Cricetulus griseus: one gene and its partners. The protein of the gene in region 2 purifies or fractionates together with the protein of the main gene of each other region. This does not show direct contact. Links are inferred from orthologs where the notes say so. Each region holds a gene or a part of one and is shown on either strand. Other genes may lie near its edges.

What was found. Proteins that work in one complex are often made in the same cells at the same time.
Region 1: the proteins of Supt3h (region 2) and Kat2b purify together in Homo sapiens (affinity purification with mass spectrometry; 7 studies listed by BioGRID and IntAct, with this or other methods). This does not show direct contact. The link is inferred for Cricetulus griseus from reciprocal best matches to the Homo sapiens genes SUPT3H and KAT2B.
Region 3: the proteins of Supt3h (region 2) and Sgf29 purify together in Homo sapiens (affinity purification with mass spectrometry; 6 studies listed by BioGRID and IntAct, counting the BioPlex papers as one, with this or other methods). This does not show direct contact. The link is inferred for Cricetulus griseus from reciprocal best matches to the Homo sapiens genes SUPT3H and SGF29.
Region 4: the proteins of Supt3h (region 2) and Tada3 purify together in Homo sapiens (affinity purification with mass spectrometry; 6 studies listed by BioGRID and IntAct, counting the BioPlex papers as one, with this or other methods). This does not show direct contact. The link is inferred for Cricetulus griseus from reciprocal best matches to the Homo sapiens genes SUPT3H and TADA3.

The regions. Positions count from the first base shown.
Region 1 is NW_023276806.1:249,657,725-249,665,670, forward strand, and holds part of Kat2b (histone acetyltransferase KAT2B), read right to left. Parts: intron 5,600-7,946; coding exon 5,507-5,599; intron 3,488-5,506; coding exon 3,306-3,487; intron 1-3,305. UniProt on the Homo sapiens protein: Functions as a histone acetyltransferase (HAT) to promote transcriptional activation. Has significant histone acetyltransferase activity with core histones (H3 and H4), and also with nucleosome core particles.
Region 2 is NW_023276807.1:31,439,238-31,447,678, reverse strand, and holds the end of Supt3h (transcription initiation protein SPT3 homolog), read right to left. Parts: intron 3,163-8,441; coding exon 3,031-3,162; 3' UTR 3,001-3,030; downstream 1-3,000.
Region 3 is NC_048596.1:74,075,020-74,082,965, forward strand, and holds the end of Sgf29 (SAGA-associated factor 29), read right to left. Parts: intron 4,478-7,946; coding exon 4,413-4,477; intron 3,617-4,412; coding exon 3,487-3,616; intron 3,420-3,486; coding exon 3,273-3,419; intron 3,085-3,272; coding exon 3,049-3,084; intron 2,966-3,048; coding exon 2,803-2,965; intron 2,539-2,802; coding exon 2,422-2,538; 3' UTR 2,329-2,421; downstream 1-2,328. Other genes in the region: sulfotransferase 1A1, read left to right, coding at 1-56, 745-871, 966-1,060, 1,519-1,699, 1,823-1,935. UniProt on the Homo sapiens protein: Chromatin reader component of some histone acetyltransferase (HAT) SAGA-type complexes like the TFTC-HAT, ATAC or STAGA complexes.
Region 4 is NC_048601.1:31,423,778-31,431,723, reverse strand, and holds part of Tada3 (transcriptional adapter 3), read right to left. Parts: exon of another isoform or gene 7,103-7,946; 5' UTR 7,077-7,102; coding exon 6,870-7,076; exon of another isoform or gene 6,844-6,869; intron 5,900-6,843; coding exon 5,649-5,899; intron 5,521-5,648; coding exon 5,415-5,520; intron 3,322-5,414; coding exon 3,180-3,321; intron 3,092-3,179; coding exon 2,988-3,091; intron 2,150-2,987; exon of another isoform or gene 2,063-2,149; intron 1,680-2,062; coding exon 1,570-1,679; intron 1,019-1,569; coding exon 833-1,018; intron 1-832. UniProt on the Homo sapiens protein: Functions as a component of the PCAF complex. The PCAF complex is capable of efficiently acetylating histones in a nucleosomal context. The PCAF complex could be considered as the human version of the yeast SAGA complex.

The sequences.
Region 1 (7,946 bases), on a different chromosome or scaffold from region 2:
CAGTCTATCTCAAGATCCAGCAATTCCACTCTTGGGCATAAACCCAAAGGATGCAGACTCATACCACTAGAACATTTACTCAACTATTTTCATAGTAGCATTATTTGTAATAGCTAGAACCTGGAAACAACATAGAGGCTCCTCAACTGAAGAATGGATAAAGAAAATGTGATACATTTACACAATGGAGTACTACTCAGCAGAAAAAAAAAAAAATGACATCTGATGGAGGCAGATATGGAGATCACAGCAAAGCACTGGGTAGAGCTCCCAGAGTTCAGTCAAAGAAAGGGAGAAGCAATAGTATGAGCAAAGGGGACAAGACCATTTTGGGGATACTCACAGAAACAGCTGACCCAAGCTAGTGAGAGCTCACCGACTCTGTACTGACAGCTGTGGAATCTGCATAGGACTAAAATAGACTCCTGAATGCAGGTGACAGTGGGTGGACTGTTTATGAGGCCACTGGCTTCATAACTAGGGCCCTGGACCTATCCCTAGTATATGAACTGGCTTTTCGGAGCAAATTTCCTGTGCAGACATACTTTGCTCAGCCTAGAAATAGGGCTCATCGTGGTGATGATACAGACTTCACTGACTCCCCATGGGAGGTCATATCCTCTCTGAGGAGCAGATGGGGGTGGGGGGAGGGGAAGGCAAGGGGAGAGGGAGGAAGAACTTGGATTTATATGTAAAATTAAAAAACAAAAATTAGCCGGGCATTGGTGGTGCACACCTTTAATCCCAGCACTCAGGAGGCAGAGGCAGGTGGATCTCTGTGAGTTCGAAGCCAGCCTGGTCTACAACAGCTAGTTCCAGGACAGCCTCCAAAGCCACAGATAAACCCTGTCTCAAAAATAAATAAATAAATAAATAAAATAAAAATTAATTACTTAAAAAAAAAAGAGTTGCGGTGGTCAAATGTCTCTTCACAGCAATAGAACCATAACTAAGTCAGAAAGAGTAATGGGGAATGAGAGGAAGCCAGCTCAATAACTAATTATGAAAATGTAAACACATGAGCTAGCTGGTGACAAACCTGAGTAATCAGAAGTCCAACTCCATGCAACTCTGATTATCCTGACACTGTTTTGGAGTTGACATTAAAATACAAGAAAACAGGGCCGGAGTTACAACACAGTTGGCACATTGCTTGCCTTGTATGCGGGCCCAGAATTCAATCCTCAATACTGCATAAACCAGGCTTGACAGTACACTTCATAAAGTAAATTAATTGGGAATTTAATTCACTTCTTATCCTAACTTGTATTGGGTCTATTTTTTAGACCTCAAACTATTTTTTTTTAACCTCAAAACATTTTCTTAGATTAAACAATTCAAGCTTTTATGTCTCTCGGCCTTGTACAGTTTATACCTCTCCTGTGAGATTCTTTTTTGAATTTAGTAACAAAGAAAACTGTAACAACTATCTCATCTTCAACTCCATCAGAGACCCAAGAAGGATATAATACTACTTGAGTAAACAGGAAGTGCCAAGCAAGCATCTTTGAAAACTATAGAAATTACAGCAACAACTGGCTATCTGGACAATCACCCAAGGCTCCTCTACAATGTTGCGGCATCCATCTTCAGCCTACAGGCCTAGAATTCTGACAGACATTTCTGTGAAGCGGGAAATTTAAAGGACTGTACCACCTTGTCTTGGCAAAGTTCGGCAGTCTTATTCCTTTGTGTCTGCTTGTCCAGTTTGTACAGTTTTCTGTCAGCCGTCAAAGCAAGGGCAGTTTCTTGCATAAATGGCTAGCTTTGTCACAATGAAAGTAAACTCCATATGGACGTTCTTCAATACTTTTATGAAGCAGACTGGTACTGCCAGAAACAGATGTGTCATAAAAAGCCTTAGGTTATTAAAACATCTTAAATGTCATATTCTGTAGGTCTCTGAAGTGTTTGGAGACCACCTGTCTATCTACAATATTCAGTTTAACCATGAAACTACAAGTTTGATTGTCATAGATGATTAACTGTTAACCTGTCTTTCTTATTATCTGATGGGGGAGGTCCTTCTGTATGTTGTTAATAAATGTTTCTTTATTGGTTGATGAATAAAACACTGACTAGCCAGTAGCCAGGCAGGAAGAATAGGCAGGCTATCAGACAAGGAGAATTCTGGGGAGAGGACGCAAAGAGAAGCCTCCAGGGAGACACCATGAAGCTACCAGAAAGATAGGATGCTAGACATTTTCCAGTAAGCCAAGACCTCGTGGAAATACATAGATTAATAGAATAGGCTAATAATTAAGAGAGAACTAGCCAATAGGAAGCCTAAGCCATTGGCCAAACAGTTTATAATTAATATAAGCCTCTGTGTATTTATTTGGGACTAAACAGCTGCAGGACCAGGCAAAAGAGAAACGTCCATCTTCAGTTATCCATAATAACTTTCAAGGACTAGAACTTTACATTACATTTCTAAATGAGCTGCATAGGTATAATACCTTAAATAACATATATACAGTAACATATAAACAGAAGCATATATACAATATAACAAAATAACCTTAAATTTGTATCAATATACAAAAAATACTTTAAATAAGAGTAGAAGCTATATATATATATATATACATATATATATATATATACATATATATATATTAAGAAAAATAACACTATATTTGTATTGAATACTGAATGTGCCAAATGGTTTGTTTTCTAATGTATCCTTCATGTCTAGTTTGTTATGTGATTTTATATCCTTCTCATTAAAACTAACACAAAAAGGTTAAATATTTTTAAAAATACAAGGTATGTATTAGTTCTTATATTTTTCCTTCCTTTGAGGCAGGTTCTTATTAGATACCTCTGGTTGAACTGGAACTCACTAAAGTGGATCAGGCTGGTCTGGTCAGAGATCTACCTGCTTCTGCCTATCAAGTGTTGGGATTAAAGGTGTATGCCACCGGCACATAAATTAGATAGTAGCCACACTGAAAAAATATAAAGTACAAGTTCAATTAACCTTATTTAGTATAATATATCCAAAATACTATCAGGGCCAGAGAGATGGCTCAATGGGTAAGTGTATATGCCAGCCAACCTGAGGATTGTGTTACATTCCTCTGTGTCACACAGTGGAAGGAGAGAACAAATTCCTACAACTTGCTCTCTGATGTCCACACAAGTGGCATGGTAGAGAGAAAGTAAGTAAATAAATAAATAGCTGAGAACTTGAATTTTAAACTACATAGGGATGTTCTCTGAGTAGGTGGACAGCCCTACCATGCAGAGGCAAATAGTAGTTTCATGTTTGGAGCCAGAGTGCAGTACCTCAGCTCAATTACCTTGTGTAGTTCTCCTTGTATCCAGAGATGTCATCATGGGGAGACCGTAGTCTCCGCTGAGACGGAGCTTCCAGGTGCCAGTAGTTGATTCGGTTCAGAAACATCTTGGCCAGCTCAACTGTTGTCTGCCTCTCTTTTGATGGCAAGTGACTAAACTTGTACTGTACAAAGTTATTCACACCCTGAAAAGAATGGAAGGCAGCATGTTCATGTAGCTATATGACCACACTAACACTGAACATGCCCAGTTATCTCAGTAGTTATTAGCAAAGGAACAGACAATTCTCAGTCCACAAACATGTCTTCCCCTTCCTTCAAAATCAACAGTACTACCAGGGGAAATCCCCCCTCTGGTCACAGTGATAGAAAAAGTGACAAAACAGAATTATGATTCTGTTACCACTTGAATCCTAGAGCATCAGAGGGAAAAACACAGATGGGAAGGGTCAAAACCCCTTAAATGAGAAAATATACAGAATGAGGTTCTTGGATAAATGTTTCTATCTGTGAAATTTTTAAAACTTTGCTACCTGATCCTTCATTGAACTAAACACTAAAATTTACATCTTAATTAACACTGTTGTGGTTTTAGCAAGACTATCAGAGGAAGAAAAAACATTCAGAAATGTGCACTTTTCCAAGAGAATTGTAGATTAATCTAAATTTTCTATAGTATACTCCCATTTATCACATTAAAAAAATAACTCTTATTAGTTTAGACTCAACATGATGAAACTTATTCTCAGCTGGGTGGTGGTGGCACACACCTTGAATCCCAGCACTGGGGAGGCAAAGGCAGGCAGGTTTCTGAGTTTGAGGCCAGCCTGGCCTACATTGTGAGTTCCGTGATAGACAGGGCTACACAGAGAAACCCTGTCTCAAAAAGAAGGAGGAGGAGGAGGAGCAGGAGAAGAAGAAGAAGAAGGAGGAGGAGGAGGAGGAGGAGGAGGAGGTGGAGGAGGAGGAGGAAGGAAGGAAGGAAGGAAGGAAGGAAGGAAGGAAGGAAGGAAGGAAGGAAAAGAAAAAGCACATAAAAAAAGAGGAAGAGAAAAGCAAAACAAAAATTTGTTCTTTCGGAAAACTTACTTACAAAAAATCATTTATGGCCAGCATTGGTGGTGCACACCTTTAATTCCAGCACTTGGGAGGCAGAGGCAGGCAGATCTCTGTGAGTTCGAGGCCAACATGGTCCCCAGAGCAAGTGCCAGGATAGGCTCCAAAGCTACACAGAGAAACCCTGTCTCGAAACCCCCCCAAAAAAAAAAAATATTTATAAAGACTCTGGTATCATTTTGTGATGGTTAGCTCTGTCAACTTGATATAACCTGGTGTCACCTGGGGAAGAAGACCCAAAGAGTGACTGTTTACATTGGGTTGGCCTTTGGACATGTCTTCAGGGGTGGTCATAATCAAGTTTATTGATATGGGATGAACTACAGATGGCACCATTCCCTATGACTGAGGGACTGATGTTTATAAGAGTAGAGAAACCAAACTAAACACAAGCAAGCCCTCATGGTTTCTCTCTTCTCTTGACTGTGAATATGGCCTGATGAACTTTGTGGAGCTCCTGCCATGTGACTTCCCTGCTATGAATGATTACAACCTGGACTGTAAGCCTAATAAAACCCCTTTTTCTTCTGAAACTGCTTTTTTAAAAACCAAGTATCTTCTCCCAGCAAGAGAAACAAAGCTGGAATGAGAATTGACTGACCACCCCCCCCCATACAGTGTTTTCCATATCATTAATGAATGCCCTCTCCTCAAAAGGTTTCTCAGACAGTGCCAAATAAAAAAACAAAGACTTAATTTTAAAACATCAAGAGCAATAAAAGGCACATTTTATGAATTCTTACCAACTACATGTTCTATGCATTTGTCCCTACATACAGAGTGGAGTTTAAGTGCACAACACTCCTAAGACAAAAGCCAGACTATTGATACAAGTGGGCATGATTGTGGGAGTCAGAATATCCTAAGTGATTCTATAGTCTTTGTGTTAACCCTTGAAGCTGGCTGGGAATGGATGCAAGACCTATGTAGAAATGTGAAAGGAAGCTCGAAGTTCTTCAAGCTAGAATGTAGCTTAACAGTGTACGCTGACTATTTACAAGGTTCCAGGTGTGAGCCCCAGCACCCCAAAACTGGGAGGGGCCCTTCAGCCTCAAGTTCATATAAAAGAGATCCTCAAAAATGTTTACCTGTTCAATACTGGGCTTTTCAAATGGGGGCTTCTTCTCCAGTGAGCCTTCAACCACAGGTTTTCCTCTTTGTAAAATAGACTTTCTCAAGAGCTGCAAAGAAATCATTTTAAAAACAAACTTTAGTTTGAAAGGCTCTTTATAGTATGCTTGTGGGTATGTGGCTTATGGTTTTGGTTTTGTAGTCCAGGCTGATCTTAAACTCATGGCCCTTCTTTCTCAGCCTTAGCTTCCCAAATGATGGGATTACTGGTTTGTACCAACTTAACTGGCACTTGAAACACACAAACACATACACCCCACATCACATCTATTCCTTTCCTTCCAGTTCCCACCTCACATGTACCTAACCATTAAGCAAAGTCACCAACTATATAGTCTCATAAGAACTAACCTTTAAGTGAAACACATAAACTTCAAGAAACCACAAACTTGCCTTCATGCCTCCAAACAGAGCTAGACACCTTTCAATTCTGAGCAGCCTGGATTATTCTGCACTTATCCCCACACTCTACCCTCCATTTCCCCTTCATTTTTGCTTGCTAGGGACCCAGAGGCCTGTTTAGACTCATTGAGGCCACCAGAGGTAGATGAAGCTCTCAGTCTTGGCCACTATAAAAGTCAGGATCCGCTCTGCATAAATTAGGTTAGAGACAACTGTTCTTTGAAGGAGCTGTGCAGCCCATGTTTCTAGTACACATGGGCTGCACAGGGGCTTGGAGGGAGCTTTCTCTACTTCTGTCTTTTTCCATTTCTTCTTCATCTGTAGGTGTCAGGTGCATGTGCTCAGTGTCCACAAACCAAATACACTAATTTTAATTCTTGTCCAAGGATCAAAAGCCTCCAAAGAGCAAACAGACAGAGAAGGGACAGAGCCATTTACCAGAACTAAGGTAAAGATGAATTCAACGCCAAGAACTCTGGAGAAATCTACACTCAGCTGTGAACAACTGCCCCTTCTTCCCCCGCACCCCCCACCTGATGCTTATGTTTAAATCTATTTGAAACACTTTTTCTCTGGCTGAATGTGGTGACTTACACCTATAATCCCAGTGTGTGGAAGGTTGAGACCAGAGGACTGCCATGAATTCAAGGTCAAACACAGCTATAGAATAAAGCCACATCTCAAAGAAATAAAGTTTCTTTAAACTATTTATATATATATTTGTGTGCATGCATGTATGTGAATGACGCATGAATCACAGTGTGTATGTGGAAGTCAGAGGACAACTTGAGTCAATTCTGGCCTTCTACACTATGACTCCTGGGACTTGAACACAAATCACCGTGCTTGGATGAAAGCACCTTTGCTCACTGAGTCATCTTGCCAGCCCTTTTTCTCAATAAACTCCAACTCTGAAAAAGACAAGACACTGAAATTCTTCCTAACTGAAATCGTCTATAGCGTCCTTCATCTGTAGGCCATGTATCTATTTACCCTTTCCTTCTTTTCTCCACTTCTGCCTTTCCAGGAGAAGTGAAAGAGAGCAACTATTCTCTGTATTAACAAAACTGACAAATCCAAGAGATTGAACTTCTCCATCTGTTGGCATCGAGCTGGTGTTCTCAGTACCTACAACCAAATATACTACTTTTAATTCCTGTTCTAGAATCGAAAGCCTCCAAAGAGCAAACACAGTAAAGGGACAGAAAAGGAGTATGTCACCCTCTCAGGGTCCCATGTAAGTTTTGAGTGTGAACCACTTACTGATCCTTTCAATGTTTTGTGTCCAACTTCACAAAAATTAATTGTAATAAAAGTAACCATTGCATGTGTTCCCCATGATAAAGATTAATCCTGAGTCAGTTGGGATGGCCCTGCCTGGCATCCCAGCACCTCTGAGGACTAAAAGGGTTAGGTCATCCTCACCTACATAATTAGTTTGAAGTTACAAGAGACTCCATCTTAAAACAAAACTACAGTAATCATGGATTTTACAAACAAGCAATTTCAGAGTTAAATAGTTTTTTTTCTCAGTTGGCCACTTGGGAGCTTGAGCCACTGGAATATTCAGTTTTGAGATGAACTGGGAGACAATGAAATATGAAGTGATGGAGCTGAAAACTGGGCATAATGGCTCATGCTACCAACCCAGTATTCAGGAAGACTGCTACATTTCAAAGCTAGCCCATGACTCCTACTGAGTTCCAGGCTAGCCACAGTTACATAGAAAGATGTTGTTTCAAACAACAGCAAAAAGATCAGCCTGGACTACATAGAAAGACCTAATCAAAAGAAAAGAAAGGAAAAGAAAAAAAGAAGAAAAAGGAGTTGTTGGAAGAGAAGAGAGTGCAGTGGCTATCTTGGATTCTGATTTTAGAAGCAAGTACTGTTGTTGGATGAAGCAGAGGTGGGGGGAGCAAAGATCACAGTGCAATGCTTGCTGGCTTGCTATACTGGCTGCAAGCCACATAGCCTACAGGATGGAAAGCCTACCAG
Region 2 (8,441 bases):
GTAGAAGTGTTTATGTACTATGAAACGCTCAGCCAGAGCATGCAGGAAACCATAAAAGATTTTATGAGATGTATACATGGCTGATGGGAGAACTTAAAATGCAACCTGGGAAGGCGTTATCTGAGGTCCAGGAGGGCAGATGAGAGTACATACTCTCTAGTGATTTTTCACACAAGGGGTTATAGAAGCCTGAAAGCAATTTTGGAATTATATCGAAAAAATTCAAAGTTTGAACTTTATAATTTCTAGACAAATAAACTTATTTTCTTTCAGACCACAGATCACCCGTTATGTTTACTTATCTTCTATGTGGTATAACATTTAATGTGGGTTATTATTTTTTAAAAACAAAAAACAGACAGTGACACAGGAACAATATAGACTGTTTGAAAATATTTACACTTCTGATGGTTTTTAAATTAAAAACCCTGGTCCCTAAAATTGGAACATTATTTTTGAATCTCAACTATTATCATGTATGAAGGCAGAAAAGGTCAAGGACATGGCCTCTAAAGGGCAGTTCCAAAAAGTCACACTTCTAAACTTAGGTGGGAGGAGGGGTATTTTTGTTTCCTTTATCCTTAGGGAGCAGCATCAACTTCCCAGAAGAAAAGTTCCTTATTATTTGTGGGTTTATTTTCAAGTTTGCTCTCTAAAATACAAGGGATTAACACCAATAATAAAAACTCACACAGAAGCTCTGTATTCATAGATGATTTAGAGTTGAGCCCCAAGTATAGAAAGTGTCATTTAAGTGTCCATTAAGATTTCATTATTATGACTTCACATTTATGTTGTAGGTGTATCTACAAATAGTATCATTAAGAAATGTTTTCCTTTATTGTGTGGGATAAATATGGTGCATCTCTGTACTATTCTAATGTAAATACGGGGTGAAGTGTGGGGTGGGCTGAGAATTAGGGGCCGCAGGTTATCATGCATGGTCTCTTCCCGCTATTACCTAGTGATCCAGGATAGTCACTTCCCAACTAGGCCAGGTTCTTTTTCATCTATCAAGTGTGTGACAGTTCCTAACAACCCTCATAGTTATCTTCTCTAACTGTGATAACATGTGGCACTTTAATCTTAGGGGCTCTTTTTTGAAGTGTCATCTCTGAGAGTTTCCTTCTGTTGAATTTTATCTAAATAACTGTTCAGAAATTTTTTTTTTCTTCAAATATAGTCTTCTTTTAAGGGTAAGGGAAAGAACACGAGTGTAGGAAAGAAAAAAAGAATTAAAATGTTAATATTGAGCAATTGTGAGCACATCTAGGCTGGCTCAGGACAGACACAAACCTTGTTTTATTCTAAATTCAGCTTTCTGGCTTATGATGAAAAGTGAAAGGTATTATGTGAACTTGCTGGGCAAAACCAGATTTTATAAATAATTACCTGTCAGACGGTTCAAGATAGACAAACATACACCAGACCAACAAAAACACAGAGCTGTCGTGTTTCTGAGAGAAATGTACATTGAGTCTTCCTTCCCTGGGACTATAAGGAGATTAGGTAGAATAAGATGATGGAGGAAAACAAAGCCTTGCATTTTCTGCCTTGTGCTACTTTCAAATATATAATGTGGGGCAGAGATGGGTTTTCAATAGGAAAAATTAGCCCCTGAAAATTTCAGATCTTCTACAAGTCTGGCAGATGGAAACCAAATACAGTAAATGCTGCCATTTCCAAAGTAAGTATGTTTACTGCAGGGTTATAATTTTCCATGATTAGGGATGCCAAGGAAAATAAGAGTGATGATAAAAAGAAAAGTTTAATCATACTTTTCAATGGGCATGGGGAGAACATCAAAAACCCTTTGGCAATTTTTGATATTAAATATCTGCATTTTACCTACCATGTACACTTTTCCCCTACCCCAAGAATGATTAGTATGCATCAGGTAAATGACAGTGGTGAACACAGACACAGTATGTTGAGACTCAGAAGGGTTTGTTCACACAGAAAACGTCTGCTCTTCTTATTTCTCTCTTCGACCCGAAACTCTTACAGAATTAAAGACATAACTTCTTCCTTTGCAATTCATATTTAATCAGGAACTATACCATTGCATCTGCTACATTTTGGGTTGTTCCCAAGAGTTACACTTCCTCATTTACTAGAGACAGTACAGACGCCAGAAGGGCAGCTCAGCAGCTCCCAGCAGGCAGTGTATCAACTGGTTCCAGACCAGAGGGAGAGCTCTCAAGGGATTCAGTGAATCCAAGAATCCTTTTGCTCTTGCTTTTGACTTTGCTTCTGAAAGGGCATGGAAGCTCTCTCTCTCTCTCTCTCTCTCTCTCTCTTCTCTCTCTCTCTCTCTCTCTCTTCTCTCTCTCTCTGTGTGTGTGTGTGTGTGTGTGTGTATGTGTGTGTGTGTGTGTGTGAGAGAGAGAGAGAGAGAGAGAGAGTGTGTGAGTGTGAGTGTGTGTGTGTGTGTGTGTGTGTGTGTGTGTGTGTGTGTGTGTGTGTGTGTGAGTGTGTGGTGGCTTGGGGGAGTTCAATGGAAAAGAGGGTAAGTGAAGATGGATGAAACAAGTTCCGTGAAGTGAGTGGGGTGACGGGAGAAGAGGGGAACAGGTGGCTTGTCCTGCCAGGTGAATTTTCCATGGGTCTATGTTTATAAAATGACTATGTCTCTAAAATACACACAAAGACTATCAACAATGCTGGAAAGTACAATTGGTGGGTCAATGGAAGACTGACTCATTTTGTCTCTTTTGCCCCAAATCTGAATCACAAAAATACATCATATAAAAGACAGACTAAACACTGGAGGGGAAAAAAAGCACAACCCTGCTTTTAAGATTTATGAGCCGAGGGCAGCAAATCTGTGCCAGATTCAAAATTCAAAATTGTGTGATGTGCATTCTTGTCCACCTACACACCATCCCCAACATCCTGCCATTAATTAGGCAAATGGCCCATTCAGTAAACAAAGCTAAGGAGGCTGGGGAAGCACTGGAGTCAGAGAGTTGAGAGTCAACAAACCAGGCCACTCCCTAGGGCAGGAGAAGGTAAACTCATATTTTATTTTCAGCCAGGGCAGGGAAGAATGACCTCGGTGCACCATTTTCTCTCTTGTAGCAGGCACAGCCATGGTCCCCTCAGCAGGCCAGGAAAGCCATCCCACTCCTTCGGTAGGCACTCTGTCAAAGACAAAGGAATCTGCAATGAATTATCACATCAAGTCCAACAAGCAGAGGGAGCAGAGGCTTTTCTTCCTGTTTTGTAGACTGCTGGCTGCCAGCTAATAGGATGCTTAATATGAATAGTTCCGGTGGCACAACTCTAGCGACCATTCTGTCTATTAAGTCAGTGTGGTTAACAAGTGGTTAGGGAGTCTATTTTGGGGCAGTGGGTGATATGCAAAATAAGGCATCCCATTTTGTCCTGTTAATGGATTGCTGTTGGTTCAGCCAAGGAAGGGCTGTGCTGGGTCTGTTTGTCTTTTGGAAACATGTGTTCTCTATTCCACATGCTCCACAGTCAGCTCTAACTAAGCATTGTAATAGTCTATAAATTACTGACTCACTACTGTCTTCCCAGGCCTGGTTTATAGTCTGGAGGGGAAGGCTGTGGGAACGGACACCAATGGAGGCCTTTCGTCCTCTCCACAGTGTGGCGATCTAAAGGCACACTGCACATTACTGGCAGTACAGCTTATCTGTAGATGCACATGGAGGCAGACATACAGATGTTCATGGTAGGATAAATGGTCACTTTCAAAACCAGACACTGGTTGCAATAATGTATTCCAGGTCAGGAAGGTAACACTGTCTTTTATCTCCTGCTGAGGAGTTTGCATTTTGGAATGGGAAGAGCAGGCCAATGATGACTTCTCATGACTTCTTGAATCTTACTTTGTGCTGAAGAGGAGCACAACTAAGAGTAAGGACAGAGAACAAGAGCCCCTCACTGGCATGTAACATATCATTTAACTGGCAAGTCACATTCAAGCCTTCAATTATTTGATAATGTGTTTTTAGAAAAAGGGGCAAATGACAAAAACCTCATAATAGGGCCTCTTGCCCCTCTGAGGCCAGCAAGTCTGGGGCTAGCCTGGAGTCCCTGCATTTTCAGCACAAGAGCTTTACTATCAGCAGTCATCTTGTAGGAAGTTATCACAGAGGCAGGCAGCCAAGATGGCAGAACAGACATCCTTGTGCATAGCTAGCTGTGCCACCTAAGAGTCAGGAAGAGAGTGAAACTCTGAAAATCAGCAAGGAGCTAGAGAAAAGAAGAAAGTAAAAGTGCACCTTCAACCCCTCCAGGACAGGGGTGAGAACAGAGAAGTGGGAAGAGGCAGCAACTCCTGGAATAGCAGCCTCGCCAAGACCTGCTCTGACCCCAAAAACGGAACTCCCTAACCCGCCCTCCCTCCCCAACTCAAAGTGCCACAGAAGCATATGGCTAGATGCCAATGTTCCTTAGGGGCCAGGAGCCAATCCCCTGACACCATAAGAGGACCTGGGCTGTTGTATTTTTTACTGGGTGGAAGACAGTCCTTTCAGTGTCCTGTAGCTTCAGGACCATAGACTGTGACAGTCATAAGTCTGAGTCCATGCTTGCTTGCCTCATGGCACCTTGTAAAGGTCTTTTTAACCCACAGCATTGGGACTATGGCTACTGTTGTAAACTCCAGGCCTGTCTACAAACTCCATTGGGATCCAGGAAGGTTCTAGCTCATTGCACAGCTCCAGGAATGTAGCAGCTAGCAGCCCAACCTCTAGCACCTCTGTGTATATACAGATGAAAGTCGGGCAGGTTGATCTCCCAGCCCGCAGCCTGTTCCTGGCTACCACGGGCAGGTCATAGCCATGTCGTGCAGATACAGAGCTGTGGTTATCAATGTTTCAAACCTTGTCCCCAGCTGAGCTTTGTCTCTGTAAACTGAGGACAAGCCTATTCGTCTTATGCTCTAGTAGGGTGGATACCAGAGCCACACATCTCAGACTACTGTGCTCAGCCCATGGGGTCTAGTGAAGGTCTCCTCCGTGTCTTATGTCTCCAGATGTGTGGATACATTTGTCATAAGCCCAAATGTTACATGCATAGGTCTGTCTTGGGAGACCTTGGGGTGATTTCTTCCACAGTCCACTGCCTTTGGACCATAGCTGGTGACAAAAACCCTGATGATGTTATGAACATCCTTTGGGGCCAGGAGATGGTCCATGGCTCTGTAAAGGTGTCTAACAGTGTTACTAGTCCCATTCCCAAGATACATGCAGGACCTAGGGTAGGTCTTGTTTGTGTTGTACAATCTTGAGCCCCTGGTTACTAGTGCCATAAATGCCAGCATCATCTGTGGTCATCCTGTGGGACCTGGGGAAAGTCCAATTCTTTCCTGTGGCTTCAGAGGACACAAGCTGTGACATCTCCCACACTCATCCTGAGAGTCCTTCACATACTGTGACTTGGAGACTCTGAATATTGATACCATAAACATTTGTGTCTTCCATGATTCCTCCCAGGTATGACAACAGCCACCACAAGTCCTAGTATTAGCAGTGTTTGATTTTGCAAAGTCTGAAGACACACACCTTTGGAAGCAAGTTTATTGCTAAGTTTTACAACTACATCCATAAAATGTTTTATGAGCAGCTATAGTTTAGACTATGGATGGCATCAAAGACAAAGAAATGACATAGATGTTTGGAGCTCCATTATAACCAAACTCATAGCACTGATCTATCTGGCATCTGACATCCCATTTAAATGAGAAGTAAAACAAAACAAAATCTCAAAACTCCCTAGAAGAATTGCTTCATAAAATTAGAGGCAAATGTAAAGCCAGATGCACAGACATCAGTGTAGGAATGCTGATAACATGATAGGAAGCATGATACTTCAAGAAATAGTTGTTCTTCACAATAGATTCCAATTTAAAGAAAATACAACTAGCCCCTAAAAAAATTCCAAATTTAATGACCCTAAGTAAACTCACTAGATAAAAGAGAATACTGATGCATGATATGAAGAAATCTTAAAAATAACTTAGGATACTAATGAGAAATTCACCAAAGCATAGAAATTATAAAGGAGAATTACCTGAAAGTTTGGAGCCAAAACTTTAATTAATGAAATTAATTATAAAGCAGAGAAGTTACATAAAAGAATAAACAGAACAAAGAAAATTTCTGAACTCTAGAATTGACTTATTCATCTCAACAAAACAAAATAAATCAGATGAAGAAAGCACACAAAACTTAGAGCACATTTATGTAAACAAGTATCTGTACTATGGGAATTTCACAAAGTGAAAAAACATGAAACCTATCACAAATAATAGATGAAGAAGACCCAACTCTTCAAAGAGATATGGTCACCCAAATATAAAGAAACTCAAAGGATCCTGATTGCATTTAAAGAAAATAGATTTTCAATTAAAACCTGTAATCTAATGCTAAAAGTACATGACCAGGAGAATCCCGAAATTCAGCAGGAGGAAAGCATCAAGTCATAGAAAAGGGAAAGCCCATTACACTTATAGCAGATCATTCAACAGATCAGTTATAGGTCACAAGAGGGTAGGATGGCATATGTAAAATATTGAGAGAAAAAATAAAAACTCTGCCCACTAAGAATATTATACCCAACCAAATAATCCTCAGAAATGAAGAGGAAACAAAATGTTCCTCAGAGAAGCAGGCACTGAGGGAAATCACCATCATTAGGTCAGCCTTACAAGAGACACTTAGGGAAGTCACTCATGAAAAACAAAAGTGTGATAATTACCAGTGTGAAACCACTAATATCTCAGGCCGGGGAGACGGCTCACTGATGAAGAGCACTTTCCCCTTCTGGAGCATCTGCATTCAGTTCCCAGAACCCACGTGGGGCAGCTCACAAACACCTGTAACTCTAGCTCCAGGGGATCAGATGCCTTCTTCTGGCCTCCGAGGGCATTGCATGTTCATGGTGCACGTGTGTACACTCAGACACACACATAAACATAAAATAAATAAACAGATCTTTAAAACAAAAGCAACAACTAAAAAACCCACAAATATTAAAAACTCAGTAGTAGAACACAGAAGAGAAGAAAAATCAAACTTCAGTGTGACAGATCCACCAAACAATACAAACAACTAGAAGGAGGTTAGAAAAGAATAATTTACAACAAACCACCCCAAACCCAGAATATAACTGAATAAAATAAAAGGAAAAATTTCATGTCTGTCAATAATAGCCACAAAGATAAATGGGTTAAATTCATCAACAAAAATGCAGGGAATAGCAGAATGGGTTAAAAATACAATAATCAACTATACACTGCTTACAGGAAATTTACTTCACCAGTAAAGATTTAGGATTGGAAAAGGATAGACAACAAATACAAAACAAGTTAGCAAGAGTCACTATATCATTAGAACAAAGCAGACTTTAAATAAAAAAACTGCCAAAAGTCAAAGAGGCTCCTTATATATTAGTGAAAGGATAAATTCAGCCAGAAGGAACAATATATCTACATTTACCCATCCTGGCATTCCTTTATATTAGCCACAAAGGAAGAGATAGACTCTAATACAATACTTTTTGGGGACTTCACCTCTCCACTTTTGTCAATGGGCGATGACGAGAGTTTTAAAATCTTAAAAACATTGTTATTTTATGTGTATGAAAGTTTTGCCTATGTGTATGTATGTGCCTTCTGTCCTCTGAGTCTAGAAGAAGGTGTCACAACCCTGGAACTGGAGTTACAGATGGTTATGTGGGTGTTAAGAACTTCACCCCAGGTCCTCAGCATAGCAGAAAGTACTCTTAGTCACTGAGCTGTCTCTCCAGATCCTCAACAAGCAAATATCTTAGTTCAATCATAATTGTAAAGTAAATGGACTTTACAGACATTTACAGAACATTTTACTGAGGCAGAATCCACATTCTTCTCATCAGCACTTGGAAACCTCCAGGACAAATCATCTGTTGTGCCAGAAATGAAGTCATAATAAACTTCAAAAACTTGAAATCATATTATCTGCTTAGATTACAATAGCTCAGAACTATGAATCACCAAGAAGAAAGTATATAGCATGTTAACCAGTGAGTATGCTGAATGAGCGGGAAGGGAAATGGACATTTCTGAAACAAATGAAGATGACAACACACCAAACATGAGGATTGTAATAGATCAGGAAAGTTACCACAAACGCCACACCAAAACAACAGACACCTCACACATGGACCCCAGTGGTTCACCTCCAGGACGCAGAGAAGCAAGAATACACTAACTCCAAAAGTGGGGGAAAGGAAGACAGATTAAAGCAGAAATGAGACATAGTATTTATTTACCCAGAGTGATGTACAGACTGCTCTTAAGTCATACCAAACTAACAATTTCTTACTAGAAATGAGAAAAATATTCCTAAGTTTCATTCCTTCTTCTCTCTCTGAGCTCCTTTAACTCTGTCTGTGCTGGAGGCAGAACAGTTTTGGATTGATGCAAA
Region 3 (7,946 bases), on a different chromosome or scaffold from region 2:
AGACACATCTGCCTCTGTCCTTGCTCCCTCAGAGTCTGCTGGATCAGAAGATCAAGGTAAAAATAAACAAAAACAAAAACCACAGTTATCGTGGTACCTTCCAGCATTCGGGAAGTAGAGGCCGAAGGATCAGGAGTTTAGGGATAGCCTTTGCTACACTGCAAGTTAAAGACTAGTAGTCTGAGCTGCATCTGACCCTGTTTAAAAATCGCAGGAAAAAAAAAAAAAAAGAAAGGGAAACAGGGAGGTGGGTAAAGTGAGAGGGTGCAAGGGTCCCTGGGGTCACCATAGCTTTGATTTATTCTGCTGGGAATTATGGGGCTACTCAAGCCCTGTTTCATCTTGTATGGAGGATCTCTGGCTGTCACTCTGGAAGGACTCAGATAACAAGGAAAACGGAATTCTTCAGTGTAAACTAGAGATGCAGAGTCCAGGTGCTCACAGGACATGGATGAAGGGGATGGTGGAACTCTGACCTACCATGTGGATGTGTTGACAATAAAGGAGTCTGATAAAATATAGATTATGGAATAGCCAGGACTTGGGCATCAAAGGTGTAATCTCAGGTCAGTGGTACCCTACCACGAAATCTCAACAAGTCAACTTCTAGTCCTGTTTTCTCTTCTGCCATCCCTAAAAGAAGTGCTGAGAGTTCTCAAGTGCTAGAAGGTATGACACCTCACTGGGTCCTGTGGTGACAGGAAAACAGGAGGAACCAGAACTAGGGATTGTTTGCCCCTGCAGGTGATCTACGTTGCCCGAAATCCAAAGGATGTGGCTGTCTCCTATTATAACTTCTACAACATGGCCAAGGTGCACCCTGATCCAAATACCTGGGATATCTTCCTGGAGAACTTCATGGCTGGGAAAGGTGAATCTGAGTCTGTACCAAGGAGGGGGCTGGAGCTGAGGGGCACAAGCTGGTGCTAACAAGGACTGTGTCTGTACCCTGCCCTCTTCCCCAGTGTCCTATGGGTCGTGGTACCAGCACGTGAAGGAGTGGTGGGAACTGACACAAACTCACCCTGTTCTCTATCTCTTCTATGAAGACATGAAGGAGGTGAGACTGCCTGCTACCACTTCCTTCTGTGTCTCACAGGCAGGAACCTCACTCACCTGGCCGAGCCCCATCCCTATCCCAGCCCCACCCCAGACCAGTACCTCCCATTACCTCCTGGCTCAGGACCTCAGCAGAGGACATTGCACAGCTCTTATCTTGGTGCAGTGTCAGTCATGTGCCATTATTGATCTGGTGGCTTGCTGCTCTTGCTTCTCCCTGCTCCAGAGGTACCAAGTATGGGTACCAGAGATCAAAGTCTGTCCCTGTCCTCTGCCAAAATGAACCCACTGGGATCATGCCAAGATGGCAGGGTAGGAAACTACCTATTTTGCATCAGGGTAAGAGACTCAAGAGTCAGGGCATCAGGTCTGAAAATTTCTTGGTAGAAGTGGCCCGCTCCCTGTGGGTGATCCCCCAACCTTATCCCAAGGAGTACCAAAATTATCTCTATGCTCCAGAATCCCAAAAGGGAGATCAAGAAGGTCCTAGAGTTTTTGGGACGCTCTCTGCCTGAGGAGACTGTGGATATCATTGTTGAGCATACATCCTTCAAGAAGATGAAGGAGAACCCCATGGCTAACTACACAACCATCCCCACTACAGTCATGGACCATGATATTTCTCCCTTCATGAGGAAAGGTAGGTAGTAGCTTGGATGGGTATTTGGAGGATTTGGGGAAGGGAGGTTGGATGCAACCAACAAAACCTGAAGTCACATGGGTCCTGTAGCTGGGACTCTACACAGTCTCTCTCCCTCTTCAGGTATCACTGGGGACTGGAAAAACACCTTCACTGTAGCTCAGAATGAGCAATTTGATGCCCACTACACCAAAATGATGGCAGGCTGCAACCTCAAGTTCCGTTGCAATCTGTAAGTGGATATGGCTATATTGGGAATGAAGGTAAGCTGACATAACCCATTATGACCTCAAGAATAAAATATGATGTATCCAGTTGTATGACCTCAAGAATAGAATATGATGCACCCATATTGTATGCCTACAGGAAATCTGAGCTCAGAGAATGAACAGGACTTGGGTAGTATCTGAATGAAGAGGGTTTTACCAACACGTGTCAGGAAAGCAATTGATCCGTGCACTGAAAAGGAACCCAAGCATGCAACAACAGAAGACATAAACTGTATTTTACCTGAAAGAATAAATGTCACTGGGAGCTGACTGGGCCTTCTCCCTCCTGCGGCCACCAATCCCATGTGCCTGATGGAGGAGGGCAGGGAGGTCTGAAGTAGTGAGGCCCAGGAGACATGGTGAGAGGGAAGAGTATTTATTTTATTACAGGAACTCGTTTGTTGCCTTCTCCCATGAGGTCGGCAGTGGCAGACTCAAGCCAGCCAGCCAGCTTCACTTTTTCTTGGGCTCCTTACAAGCCACCACGTACCTCTGGGCCACATTGAGAGGAGGGGAGTAGCCGTCTGCATAGGAAGTGTCTTCAAACAGGACTGAGTAGTCATCCTGAGGCTGTAGAGCACACACAGGAAGGGCTGGTCAAGATGCTTCTAGGCCAGGGCAGCCCCTCCTTGCCCAGAGCCCCAGATGCATCTCCCTGCCTGCCTCTCCTACTTTCTTCTCTGCTCTCAAGTCAAGGGGTCTGGTGCTACTGGGAAAGCCTATGTTTAGGAGATGAAGGACAACAAGAAGGCAGCAAGCAGGCAAGCTGAAGAATGATGGGGACCAACCCTTAAGGTTCTGGTGTCATCAAAGGCCTTTCATGTGGCTCCTTACCCGCTGTGGGGGTGTGTGGATCAGGGCACGGTAGAAGCAGGTGGTCTGGGGATATAGGGCCAGCACCAGCTGCTCCTTCTGAAACAAGGCCTCAGGGTCTGTCTCAGGGTTAGCTTTCCACTGGGGCAGTGGGATGATGCGCCGCCGACTCAGGGTGTGTCTCCTGGGGGAACAATACAGGCCGTGACCAGGAGGCTTCTCCCAGAAGCTTGGTGACTCTCCACTGCTCCCCACCGGGACACTCACTCTTTGCCTTCTTCATCAATGTCATCTACCTCATACCTGTGGGCAAACAAAAGGGAAACAGTTCTGGGACAAAGAGCGGTTTGCATCCAAGAGTAAGGCTGAGAGAGGGTGAAAAGGGGATGGAGAAGCTCGAGAGAGCACCACCCAGCACCCTTTGGGGGGAGTTTTCCTCCCATGCTGCAGAAGCTGGAGTGGTGAGAATGCAAGGTCAGGCACACACTCACTTGTTGGTAGCATGGCTGTAACTGACTACTTCAGCTAGGATCCACTGCTCATCCCCATCCACAGCCTTCACTCTAGCAGCCACCTTGTCTCCAGGTTTGGCCACATAGTCCCCTGAGGCTGGAATGGCTCCACAGAGGGGTGGGGGCCTGTGAGAGAAAGCCCGTTAGTCTGGCTCCCTGTCACCAGCCCTCTCTGGCTAGTTCCTGCCCTCACTTGTCACCAGGCTTCCCGATCCAGAGGGGCAGGGTCATGGCTGACTGCTGCAGCAGTGTCATCAGCACGCCTCTGCGCATGGTCTTCCGTGGGGGCTCCGAGTCATTGTAGAGACCTGCGATCTTGGCCGCTGTGGGAAGCAAGTGAACCCCTGAGGCCAAGTGGATGGTGTCTGACCCAGTCACACCCCAGCAACTGCTCTGAGTTGGAGCACTTTATACCAGGATCCCAAAACCATCCACACCCCTTCTTAAGGTCAGGAACTGACAGCCTAACTCAAGTGGGTGAGATGTCAGGACAGTGGCCACCATCGTGGAGTGGAACTAAAAAGGAGGGTTTCCAGGATATAGGTTATATTATGTCTCCTGACCAGGATGCTGGATATATAAATGTGCTGGGTCAATGAAAATTCCTGGAATGTATCTTCTTTCTACTAGTGTATGTAATTTCAACAAAAGTTGCACAAATTATCTAGTGTGGATCCTTGGTCTCATCAGCCATGGCTCATCACACTCTTCAACTAAAAACAAAAATGGTACCATGATGGTGATATGGGGTAAAGAGTTGCATCTGGGACAAGACAGAAGTCAGGAAGCCAAGGCAATGGCACCTGAGGAACCTACAAGGTAGGGGGCTAAGCCAGCTTACATGTGGCCACCAAAGCATGCCACAGAGGGAGCAGCGGTAGGAAGGAGAGAGATGACCAGCCCTGGCTAGAGTGAGCAGGGCAGTGTGAGTGGTGGGACAAAATTTCCTGGGTCTAGGCAAGAACTAAGCAAACTCTCTGCCTCTGAGTCTGTTTCAGACAGCTCTGTTGGGTGACCCCACCAACCTATGTCCCATATTCCCCTGCCAAGGCTATGACTGCTTCCCCCCAGCCCCCACCTGGCCTGGTCAAGAAATACCCTGCATTTTCTCCCACTCACCTATCCGCCTCTCTTCCAGCAGAGACTTGATCTCAGCTATCTTATCCAATGCTTTTCGGAGGATGCTAGGCAAAGAAGGGAGAAAAGAGTGCTGGGTGAGGCACTCAGCGTATGCTTCTTGGCGATCTGGACTCCCCAGACCAAGTCTATGCTGAAAACTACAGATCCTGTTGCGTGTGGTGGCTGACACCTGTCATCCTACCGTGTAGGAGGCTGTAGTAGTCCTGGAGTGAGTTTGATGCCATCTTAGCTACACAAAGAGCTCCGGGTTTGCCTGGGCTAGAGTGAGACCTTGCTTCAAACAAAGAAGGAGAGGCTATAGAGATGGCCCAGTGAATTAAGTGCCTGTTGTGCAAGCCTGAGCATCTGAGTTAGATTCCCAAAACCCATCTGAGAGCCAGACATGGTGGTGTGTGCCTGCAATCCCAGCACTGCATTACTGTGGAGACAGCTGGGTCTTTGGAGTTCACTGGCCAAACAGCCTAGCCAAATCAATCAGTTCCAGGTTCAGTGAGAAACTCCGTCTCAAAAACTAAGGTGGACAATAATCAAGGAAGACATCCAGTATCAACCACTGCCTTATACATGCATTCTCACCCATGGGCATGCACACTCACATGCCTGAGGACCTACACAAATATAGGTACATACTTCATAAACATATATATACCACATGTATACACAAGATAGTAATAAAAACAATGAAAAAAATAAATGAAACTATAGCCCCTAAATAGAAATAGGCACTACCCCTGATATCTCAGTTAACAGGTCTTTCTATGCCACAATCCTATGACAGTGGCCCCACAGGATTTTACTGCCTCATGGCACCACTGCCAGCTTAATGTCACAGTGAAACATATCATATTCTCTGCACTGACAGTCACATATATGCAGGGCATATACAATCATATACACTCAATCACACTTGATTATAGTAATGACCATGCCACTGATTTAGAAGTTTACTAAGGCTGGACAGATGGCTCAGCAGTTAAGAGAACTGGCTACTCTTCTTAGGGTCCTGAGTTCAGTTCCCAGCACCCACATGGTGGCTTACAACCACCTAGAATGGGATCTGATGCCCTCTCCTGGCATGCAGGCATATAAACAGATAGAGCACACATATACATAAAATGCATAAATACATAAATAAATTAATTAATAAAATTTAGCTGGGTAGTGGTGGTGCATGCCTTCAATAACAGCACTTGGAGGGCAGAGGCAGGTTTATCTCTGAGTTTGAGGCCAGATTGGTTTACAGAGCAAGTTCCAGGACAGTCAAGTCTACACAGAGAAACTCTGTCTCAAAACAAAACAACAACAACAAAAAAACCAAAACAACAAGCTGGGCAGTGGTGTCACACACCTTTAGTCCCAGCACTCGGGAGGCAGAGGCAGGCGGATCTCTGTGAGTTGGAGACCAGCCTGGTTTATAAGAGCTAGTTCCAGGATAGCCTTCAAAGCCATAGAGAAACCCTGTCTTGAAACACCCCCCCCCCAAAAAAAAAACAAGCCAAAAACCCCACAAAACTTACTAAATTATACTTTTGACAAAATACATTGTAGCTACATTATGAATTTCATGTTCAAGGAGTGTTTTTATTGTTTAAGAGGCTACAGTGAGTGTCAATGCATCTAAGTTTGTGTCATTGCTATGACATTCATAGTGGGATTCATTGATGACAGATCTCAGAATATTAACTAACCAATGATTTTTCAGTGCTCAGGATGGAACCAAGGGTCACCTGAAAGCTAGGCAACTGCTCTAAGTGACATCCTCAGCCCGGTTTTTCAGCTGTAAAAGCATAAATGGCAATATGGTAGCAAGTGGCAGGACAACCCCTTGAGAAAGTAGGTGCACTGAGAGGTCACTGGTACTGCTTTGCCCTGTCCTGTAGAAACCCTGCCAAAGCTCTGACCCCATCCTGAGATGACAGGAATGGAAGTTCAGATCTGAGTATGCCTGGCACGTCTCTAATAGATTCATGTGCTTGAGCAGGTGGTCCTTAGTTGGTGGAGCTTTTTGCAGAGTTGTGGATCTTTTAGGAGGTGGGGCCTTGCTAAAGGAAGGGCTGGTGAGAGGCAGGTCTTATGTGTTCTGACCTGAGCTCTCCACTTCCTCAGTACAATGCAATGTAAACAGCAGCCTTGTGCTGCTGCTGCTGCTGCTGCTGCTGCTATGCCTTCCCTTTCATAACAGACAACCTTCTCAAAGCATGGAGCCAAAATAAACCGCTCTTCCCTTAAGCTGCTTTCCTCTGGGAGTTTTTACTACAGTAAGAAGTAAATAACAGGGAAGCTCCGGGGCTGTTACAGGTAGCAAAGGGAGAAGCAGAACCCCAGGGGCCTAGAGAGACCAGGCAAGCTCAGAGTATCCCCTGTAAGACTTCCCCAGTCCTGTGAAGTCCTGCAGCCAGAACCTCCAAAAGTCAAATTTACAGAGGGGTTTCAGGCTGGCAGGCAGGCCAGCAGTGGATATCACTACACAGGTTCTGCAAGTCTCCCAGAAAAGCTTCAACCTTAATCAGCAGGAACAGTGCCACTGTGGGTCATTTTATTCTGTTTCCACAGCAAACCCTTAGCAAGGGAGTGCTAAGACTCAAGACAGTGAGGCACCCAGAAAGCAGACAAGGAATGACAGTCAGGAGGCCAAAGATAGTGTGGAAAGGCTGATATTGCTGTTGGGCCTATTTAGAGGACGTAGTTTTATGTCCTACATTCAAAGTTGCAGTTTACATGACATCAAAAGAAACAGCAACAACAAAAACCATCAAGAACTCAGCTGGAAAAATCACCAAGAACTCAGCCCCATGCGCTTCAGGAAAACAAAACAAAACAAAGTGATACTCAAACTAATTGGTGACATGAAATGGGACATTCAAACAGTCACAAAGCATCTCCCCACAAGACACTTGCTCATTATACGCAGAAAACAGAAACCTGGGAGATCCCACATCAAGTAATGACACATAGTATCTGGCCTTCTAATAGAAGGCTACTTCTGTGTTACCAAGGCCTGAAGTGTCAAACTGGAATCTAGAAGCCAGGAAGCACTAAATACACCCATGGGAGGGACATGCTACAGAATAACTAACCTATAATGGCTAAGAGAGATTGAAAACTGATCAGATCAAAGAAGACTGGACACCAATGGAGATCTGAACTAGAACAGGGAGGGCCTCTTTCATGACGAAATATGAATAAGCTCTCTGAACTGATATCCTAATTTACAAACACTATGGTGTTTATTACTTATCACCCAGATGAATTCAGTAAGACCCAGTGGGTTGGGTTTGTCTGACCTAGATGGAGTAGCTTCATCTCGCTTGCTTGCTTTCTCTCTCTTAACTGCTGGGTTGGGAAGGTCTGGTTGGTGTTTATAGGGTAACAAAAATTTGAATTAGCAAAAGGATTTCAATGCAGGCCTATGTTTACCAAACAGGCTTCTAAGTGTTGAATGCTGGGTAAGACATGCCAGAGGCATTCCATACAAGAGTCTTCACCCTGCCAGCAGTTAGGACAGAAAGGGCA
Region 4 (7,946 bases), on a different chromosome or scaffold from region 2:
TATATGCCATGGTGTGCATGTGGAGGCTAGAGGACAACTTGCAGGAGTTGGTTTTCTTTCTCTATCATCTGGGTTTTAGGTTTTAGGGATTGAAATCAAGTGGCCAGGCTTGGTGGTAAGTGCCTTTACCCACTGAGAAATGGCCTATTCTGCTAGGCTTGCCTCTCTGCCCACCCAAGCACTGGGGTTACAGATATGTTCTGCTGTGGCCAGCTTTCATGTGGGTGCTGTAGACTGAACGCAAGAGGTCAGGCTTGGTGGCAAGCATTTTCCCCACTGCAGATCTTCCCAGTGCCTCTGTGGTATTTTGATTGAATAATACCATAAAGAAAAAGAAAACACAGCCAGGTAGTGGTGGAGGTAGCACATCCCAGCACTTGGGCGGCAAAGGCAGGTGGATCTCAGTGAGTTTGAGGCCAGCCTGGTCTACTGGGTGAGTTCCAGAACAGCCAAGGTTACACAGAGAAACCCTGTCTTGAAAAAAAGAAAGAAAACACACATTTAAAAAAAAAAAACAAAAGCAACTTAACACTGTAAATATTACTAAATTATGCTTATCAATGGAGTCAGGGCTGAAGAGATGGCTCAGTGGTTAAGTGTGTACTACTCTTGCAGAGGACTGGGGTTTAGTTCCCAGCACCTACATTGGGCGTCTGGCAAAAACCAGTAACTTCATCAACTGCAGGGCAGCTGACACCACAGACACCTGCACTCATATTCACAGACCCATCCATATGTCAGTTGTGGGTGCTAGAGCCCTGTCCCTGGACTTAGCATCCATCAGAGATCCAACTGGGGGATAGGGCTAGTCCCTGGCACAGTGCTCACTCACCTCAGCAGGTCATGCTTCTTGGTGCGGTTGTGTGCACTGAGTGCCTTCAGCTCAGCCTGCCGTTTGCGCAGCTCAGCGAGGACCTCATCCTCTGAGTCCTCAGCAGGCCGGTCCTCGGACTCCAGGAGGCCCTGTGCAATCAGCTCCTCCTTGATGCGGCTCTCCAAGGACTTGGTGTGGGGCACACTGTAGGCAAGGCCAGCACCTGAGCTCTGAGCGCCAGCTGGAGGGCCCTCAGAGGATCCCAGTCTGGCAAGGTGAACCCATATAGCCACACATATATGTTTCAGGCCTTGTTATGTGTGAGTTGCAATCTTTTATGATATATATTTCCAAGATTTTTTAAAACTATATGTAACTCTTAAATATAGTTTAAGTACAAATAGGATTACTCCTTTCCCCCCATTTGGTACTCTGTTTTAATTCTTTCATGTCAAGTATATTTCTGTAATGATTAGCAGTTACAAGTTATTTCTTATGCAGTTTTAGCACTCAACTAGCCATTCCCTTCAGCTGGACACTTGGGTTATCTCCAGGAAAGGCAAAGGTATGATCAAGTCTGTACTAAGCCTGTCCAGAATCGAGGCCAGCACTTCCATGTGCTGTGCAAACATCTGTATAGCCAGATGTCTGTGCATGGTCAAATGGCCCCAGCCTCTGTTTACAAAGCATGCCCCCCTAAGAAGACAGAGAGAAGCTGACAGTCACGCCCAGAGTGCAGATGGTATGTCACTCACCTGAAGGGTTTGTTCTGATTTCGGGGAGAGGTGCTTGCGCCATCAGCCCCTGATTCTTTCCCAGACATGTCAGGAATAGGAGAGTCCTCCATAGGGGAAATAATATTTTCCTGAAGACCAGAGATAGGTTAGAAGGAGGAAGCAATAGAATCCCTGTTTTAATGCTCCTCTCTGACATACACAGTCTTTATAGGCTAGATAGAAATAGTCTGCCATCTTTTCATCCCACTCATGTTAAAAAGCTTCCTCCAATTCCAGCACTGAGGAGGCAGAGGCAGGCAGATCTCTGTGAGTTCGAAGCCAGTCTGGTCTACAGAGTAAGTTCCAGGACAGGCTCCTGTCTCAAAAAACAAAAACAAAAAAAGCTTCCTCCAAAGCTTTGATCATTATAGAAATTCTTTTATTGAGGGGAGGGGAATATGGACAGCAAAAGAAGGGGACACAAGAGAAACAGTGACAAGGAAATAACCTAGCACTGTTTTTTCCTCCACAGCAGCTGAGCTACACTACATTTCCCAGGCTCCACTGCAGTCAGATGGACTCATGGGACAAATTCTTCATTGGAAAGTGATCTAAAAAGGTAAGGCTCCCAGTCACACCCAGGGCACTTCCTTCACACACTCCTCCTTACTCAATTTCTGAGGGCCTGGTGCGGTAAGACCAAGGTCATGATGAAAAGTCACACTAAACTAGAGTCTGCTGGACTAAGCCAGACTTCCCCTTCCCATTACCTCAGTCTGGGTAATGGAATGCATGCCCCAGACCATTCCCTGAGAGAAAAACTATTGTGTTAGAGACAAAGGAGGAAACTGAAGCTCAAGGACATAAAAGGGCATTTCCAAGGCCAGACAGGGGCATAAAGAGGGAAACTTCAAGGGTGGGCTTAAATCCTACCTTTACTTATTAGCTGGTAGTCTTAAGAAAAGTTCCCTTTTCTAAACCTCAGTTTCCTCACCTGCAACATGGAGCTAACACAGCACACACCTCAGTGAAAGGATGCATGAAATCCTCCTTAACCAATGCTCCACAAAGGCCTACATCTGTTATCCCAGCACTTGGGAGGCTGAGGCAGGAAAATGACTGTACATTCTAGCCCATAGTTTGACTCTATCTCAAAAAGCAAAACATCAAAACACTAACAACCATGCGCGTGTGTGCGTGTGTGTGTGTGTGTGTGTGTGTGTGTGTGTGTGTGTGTGTGTGTGTGTGTGTGTGTGTGTGTGTGTGTGTGTGTGTGAGTGTGTGGTGTGTGAGTGCGTGTGTGTGTGGTGTGTGCATGTGTGTGTTGGTTTTCTGAGATGGATACACGTGGCACTTGAACTCACGAGCTTCCTGCCTTTGTCTCCCAAGTGTTGCAGGGATCACAAGCATACACCACCACACCTAGCTTGTAGTTCCCAGTCTAACTGAGTGCTCACCTCCACCAGGGCCTGCAGCAAGCGCTGTGTCAGGGCACCAAAGGGACAGCCATCTTCTGGCTGCTCGTGCTGGGCCTCAGACTTCTTCAGCAGGGCGTCCACATCTGCAGTGGATAGGGAGAAGACAGCAGGGGCCTGAAGCTCTGGGAACTCAGATCCCGGCCTGAGGGGGACAGGGAGCTGGGGACTCACCTTTTGTGTCCAGTTCAGTCAGCGGTCCCATGAGGCCTTTCTTCTTGTCAGCCACAGCTGCTGCCCGAGCCCCATCCTTCTGCTCCTCTAGCAGATCCTCCTGGGCCCAGCGCTGGGAGTAGTGTTTTCCCAGTGGGGGAATCTGCAGCAAAGAGGCCATTCAATTCTAAGAGGTAAACCCTGGCCACCTTTGCCTGGAGTGTGGGAGACTCTCCTGGTATGGGATACTGTAGTAAACTCTCTATTCATTCTGTTTCTTTCTCACCTATTTGTTGCCCAAGCCCCAAGCCCAAGGCCAAGGGTGGTGCCACAAAAGGCAAAGAAGATAAAATCTCTGCACTTACACTCTAGTAGGAGAAAAAGGTATATAAATAACGAAAGCAGCTAGGCATGGTGGCACACACCTGTTGTCTCAGCACTCAGGAGGCAGAAGTAGGATGGTCATGAGTCTGAGCCCAGGCTGAGACCCTATCTTGTCTCAAACAAACAAAACAAAAATCAAAATACACCTAGAAACAGATACGCAATAATGAAGACATAAAGTATAAGCCCAGTGTGGTGGCGCATGCCCTCCATCTCAGCACTCAGGAGGCAGAGGCAGGCAGATCTGAGTCCAAAGACCAGCTTGGTCTAGAGAGTGAGTTCCAGGACATCCAGAGCAGTTACACAGAAAAAACAAAACAAAACAAAAAACAAAAAAAAACCAACAACAAAAAGATATAAAGTATAAAATGCTGTGTCTATGGATCCTCTTTGTCACAGGTAGTTCTTCTAAAAAGAACTAGGGTCCAAGGGATTATTATTATTATTTTGTGTGTGTAATGCTTAAACTTACTACAGCTGAAATGGATTGCCTTTTCCCTGCTTCTTTCTTTCTTTGAGACAAGAAGTGAGATTACAGGTTGCTGTAGTTCTCTAGGTCATGACTGAATCTGGGGCCTTGTCCATGCTAAACATTTGCTCTACCACTGACCTCTATTGTTAACTGCATCTCTGGCCTCAGATAAATGTTTTGTTTGTTTGTTTGTTTTTTAAATTCAGGTAAGTGCATTAAAAGCAGCCAAGAGACCATGGGGTCACCAAGTGAGACCACTTCCTTTACTCTTCTTGGAGAAAGGGCCTCACACTTGTAAGCACAGGCTAGCCTCAAACCTGCCTCAGCCTCCCAAGTGCAATAGGTGTGAGCCACTAGGCCCAGCTTTCTCTTTCTGCTGAGGAGTCTGGAAAGGCATCTTTGGTGGCAGTAGCATGAGCTCAGGCCTTGAAGAGTGAGGCAGTCTGTCAAGCTGAGAAGAGCTTGGGCACAGACCCTGGTGAGACCAGTGGGAGGGAGACATGTCTGGTACAGCTGATGAATGCAGCAGGAAAGAGGGGTGTGGCCAAGGAAGACTGGAGAGGGGAACTGGGGTGTCACCAAGCACTGAGACACTTGGCCTCCATCCTGTGGCTAAAAGGTTTAGAGAAGGTCTAGACGCAGCACAGCCAAGGTGGGAGTTGCCATGTGGTAGAGTCTCCTCCTCACGCGGTTGGTCCACTTTCTTTTATGGAACATGTTTTATTTTCATGATACATAAAACTATCTTGCTGGGGATGTATCTCTGCTGGTAGAGAGCTTGGCTGGAATGTACAAAGCCCTGGGCTCTATCTCAGGATTGCAAAACTGGGATTACATACCTGTAATCCCAACATGAGGGAGTCAGAGGAAAGAAGATCAGAAGTTCAGGGTCATCATTACACAAAGTTCAAGGCTAGTCTGGGATATATAAAATCCAGTTTCAAAAAAACCAAAAACCTTTAAGACAGGTATAGTGATGTTATGTTTGTGGTCCCAGACACCTGGGGACCTGAGAGGGAGATGGTGAGTCCAAGGGTTTAAGGTCAGCCTGGACACCATAGCAAGTTCTAGTGTCTTAGAAATGAAACAGGAACTTAACTTTTATATATTAAGTACAGAAAGAAATCGGTTGCTGAAGTCTAAAAGCAAGGAGCATGTTCAGAGGCTCTTAGGATAAAGGCAAGCGGACAGGATGAACTTCACTGACAGACAGACGCACCACTTGGCTGAGGTGGGGGTAGCAAGGGAAAGCTGAACCTCAGTGTCTGCAGGGGTAATGCAGCAGGCAGGAGGCTGGGAAGGAAGGAAGTAGATGATGTGGACTTTGCTGCCTAGGATTCCGAGGCACCTCTGAGCCCTCCTGTTCTATAACTCAGGGTTCTATGGCTCAGGGTTTCTACCTTATAATGTTCGGCTTCATCTTCAGGAGGTTTCAGGAGCTCCTCTAGTGTTCGTACCTCCTCACTGGTGATATCCGCACAGTAGGGCTCCACAGAGGCCCAGAACCTGCAGGGAGAAGCAGACCCTGAGTGGGCACCTCTGGGCTCCTTCAGCCTTAGCCCTGGGTCTTCTAAGACCACACCACCAGTCCCTAAGCCCCCTCTAGCTCTGTTCTATGTGTTCAGGCTCAAAACCTGTTGGGAGCGTCATTCTTGGGGATCCGAGGCACGTCAATTGGGTCATCAGTGAATTCATATTCCTGGATCTTTGGCTGAACGTTTTTGGATTTGGGTCGTCCTGGGCCAGGGCCTGGTCCATGCCCTGCCTTCCCTTCCAGTTTCTGCTTCTTGGGCTTCCCATGTTTGGGGGGAGCACCAAGTTCATGGTCTCGACCCAGCTTCAGGAATCGTCGGTCACCTTTCTTATCCTGCCAGTCAGTAAGGATCTGAAACACACAAAGGCAGTCACTGAGAAGGAGAGAAGAGACAAGCTCCTCTTCCCCACTTGGATGACTTGAGATCTCCAATTGGAGGCTATTAAGTAAAGCACTTATCCAGTTCTTTCTCTGTGACTTTTCTCACATGCATCGAACCAGAGGTCTACATCTCATTCTCCTCTGTTACCCAAGCTAGCCACAGACTGTTTGGTAGAAAGGTTAAAAAAAAATAAAGCTGGCCGGGCGTTGGTGGCACATGCCTTTAATCCCAGCACTTGGGAGGCAGAGGCAGGCAGATCTCCGTGAGTTGGAGGCCAGCCTGGTCTCCAGAGTGAGTGCCAGGATAGGCTCCAAAGCTGCACAGAGAAACCCTGTCTCGAAAAACAAAACAAAATAAATAAATAAATAAATAAAGCTGGGCAGTGGTGGTGGTGCACACCTTTAATCCCATTACTCAGAAGGCAGAGACAGGTGGATCTCTCAAAGTTCAAGGCCATCCTGGTCTACAGAGAAATTCCAGGACAGGCTCCAAAGCTACACAGAGAAACCTTGTCTCAAAAAAAAACAAAACAAATTTTAAAAAGGTTATGCCCCAGAGCATAGCAGCAGTCCTGGGAAATATGCTGCTGGTGGTGGGTTTTTTGGTGATGGCCAACAAGACTCCCAGCTAACCTTCATTTCAATCATCAACCCTCCTGGGAGCCCTGTCTACACAAACAACTGACTGTGTCACAGTATATCTCAGAAAGCTCCCAGGGAATTCCAGGGACTACAAGGGGACAGAATCCATCTTCTGAAGTCTAGTAGGATGGCATCCCTGGCGTTGGGACCTAACTCTGCTGTCACAATTCCCATTTGGGTCTCTCTTCCCATCCATATCCTCAACATATAGTGTCAATGTTAGGTCATTAACCTAATGAGCCATCCCATAACTTGACACAATCTTTCTCTAGTGATGTCCCCTCTGTTGGAGAATCACCTGGGTTTCAGCTTCCAGTACACGCAGCCGCCTGCTTGCAGAGGACAGCAAGGTCTCAAGCTCCAGCTGCAGAGTGTCCAGCTCCTCAATACCAATGCCATCATCCTCGGAGCGGGCCAGTACTGCCGTGTACCGGGGACAGACCTTCAGGTGGTCCACAGACTTGAAATCATGGAATTGCAATGGGCAGTCCTTCAGTTCACTCATGGCTCAGGAGATGGGATTCTGTAAAACTAGAGAGAAGGCCATTGGATGGGAGACAAAGTAGCATGGAAGAGAGGTCCAACAAAGAAACCAGGATTCAATACCTTTATAGATACGGATGGTGGCAACGTTCCTGTTCATAGAGCCCTGATTGTACAGAGGGGGGCTTACTTCACTGAATTATACACACAACCTTGGGGGATGGGCTTTATTCATGCTTTCCTTTCTTCCTTTGATGAAAAAGGAAACAGACTCCTAAGTGCAATTCATTGTCTTTTTTGTTTTGGTAGCACTTAAGACTGAACCTGAGTCTCACACATGCTGTTATCTTCAGGTTTTTTTTTGTTTTTTTGTTTTTTTTTGAGACAAAGTCTCACTATGTGGTCTTGGCTGGCCTGGTACTCATTATACTTGCCTCTACATCCCAGAGTGCTGGGATAAAGGTGTATACCACCACACCTGACTTCCCATCCTCAAACTTGCTAAGTAACCGAATATTTGTTTTCACCTCCCACGTGATGGGATTCCAGGCATGTAACCACACCTGGCTTATTCAGTGCATGTAGGCACATAGTCTCCAAACAGCTACATTCAGCCCCCTTTCATCAATTTTTTATTGAGACAGGTTCTCACTCAGTTGTCCAGACAGGCCTTGCTTGCACTTATGATCCACCTGCTTCAGCCTCCCTAGTAACTAGGTTTACAAACCTGCATGATTAATTCGAACCCAAGAAGTCTCAAACCTGCACTACAAGAGAGATACCAGTGTGCCCTGTCTTCCTATGCCCTCTGTTGGGCTCTTTCAAGCATTCTATCTTACAGGGTTCACCCAGCCTCTCCTCATTCCACTTTTGTACCTCTCTGCGTCCCTAG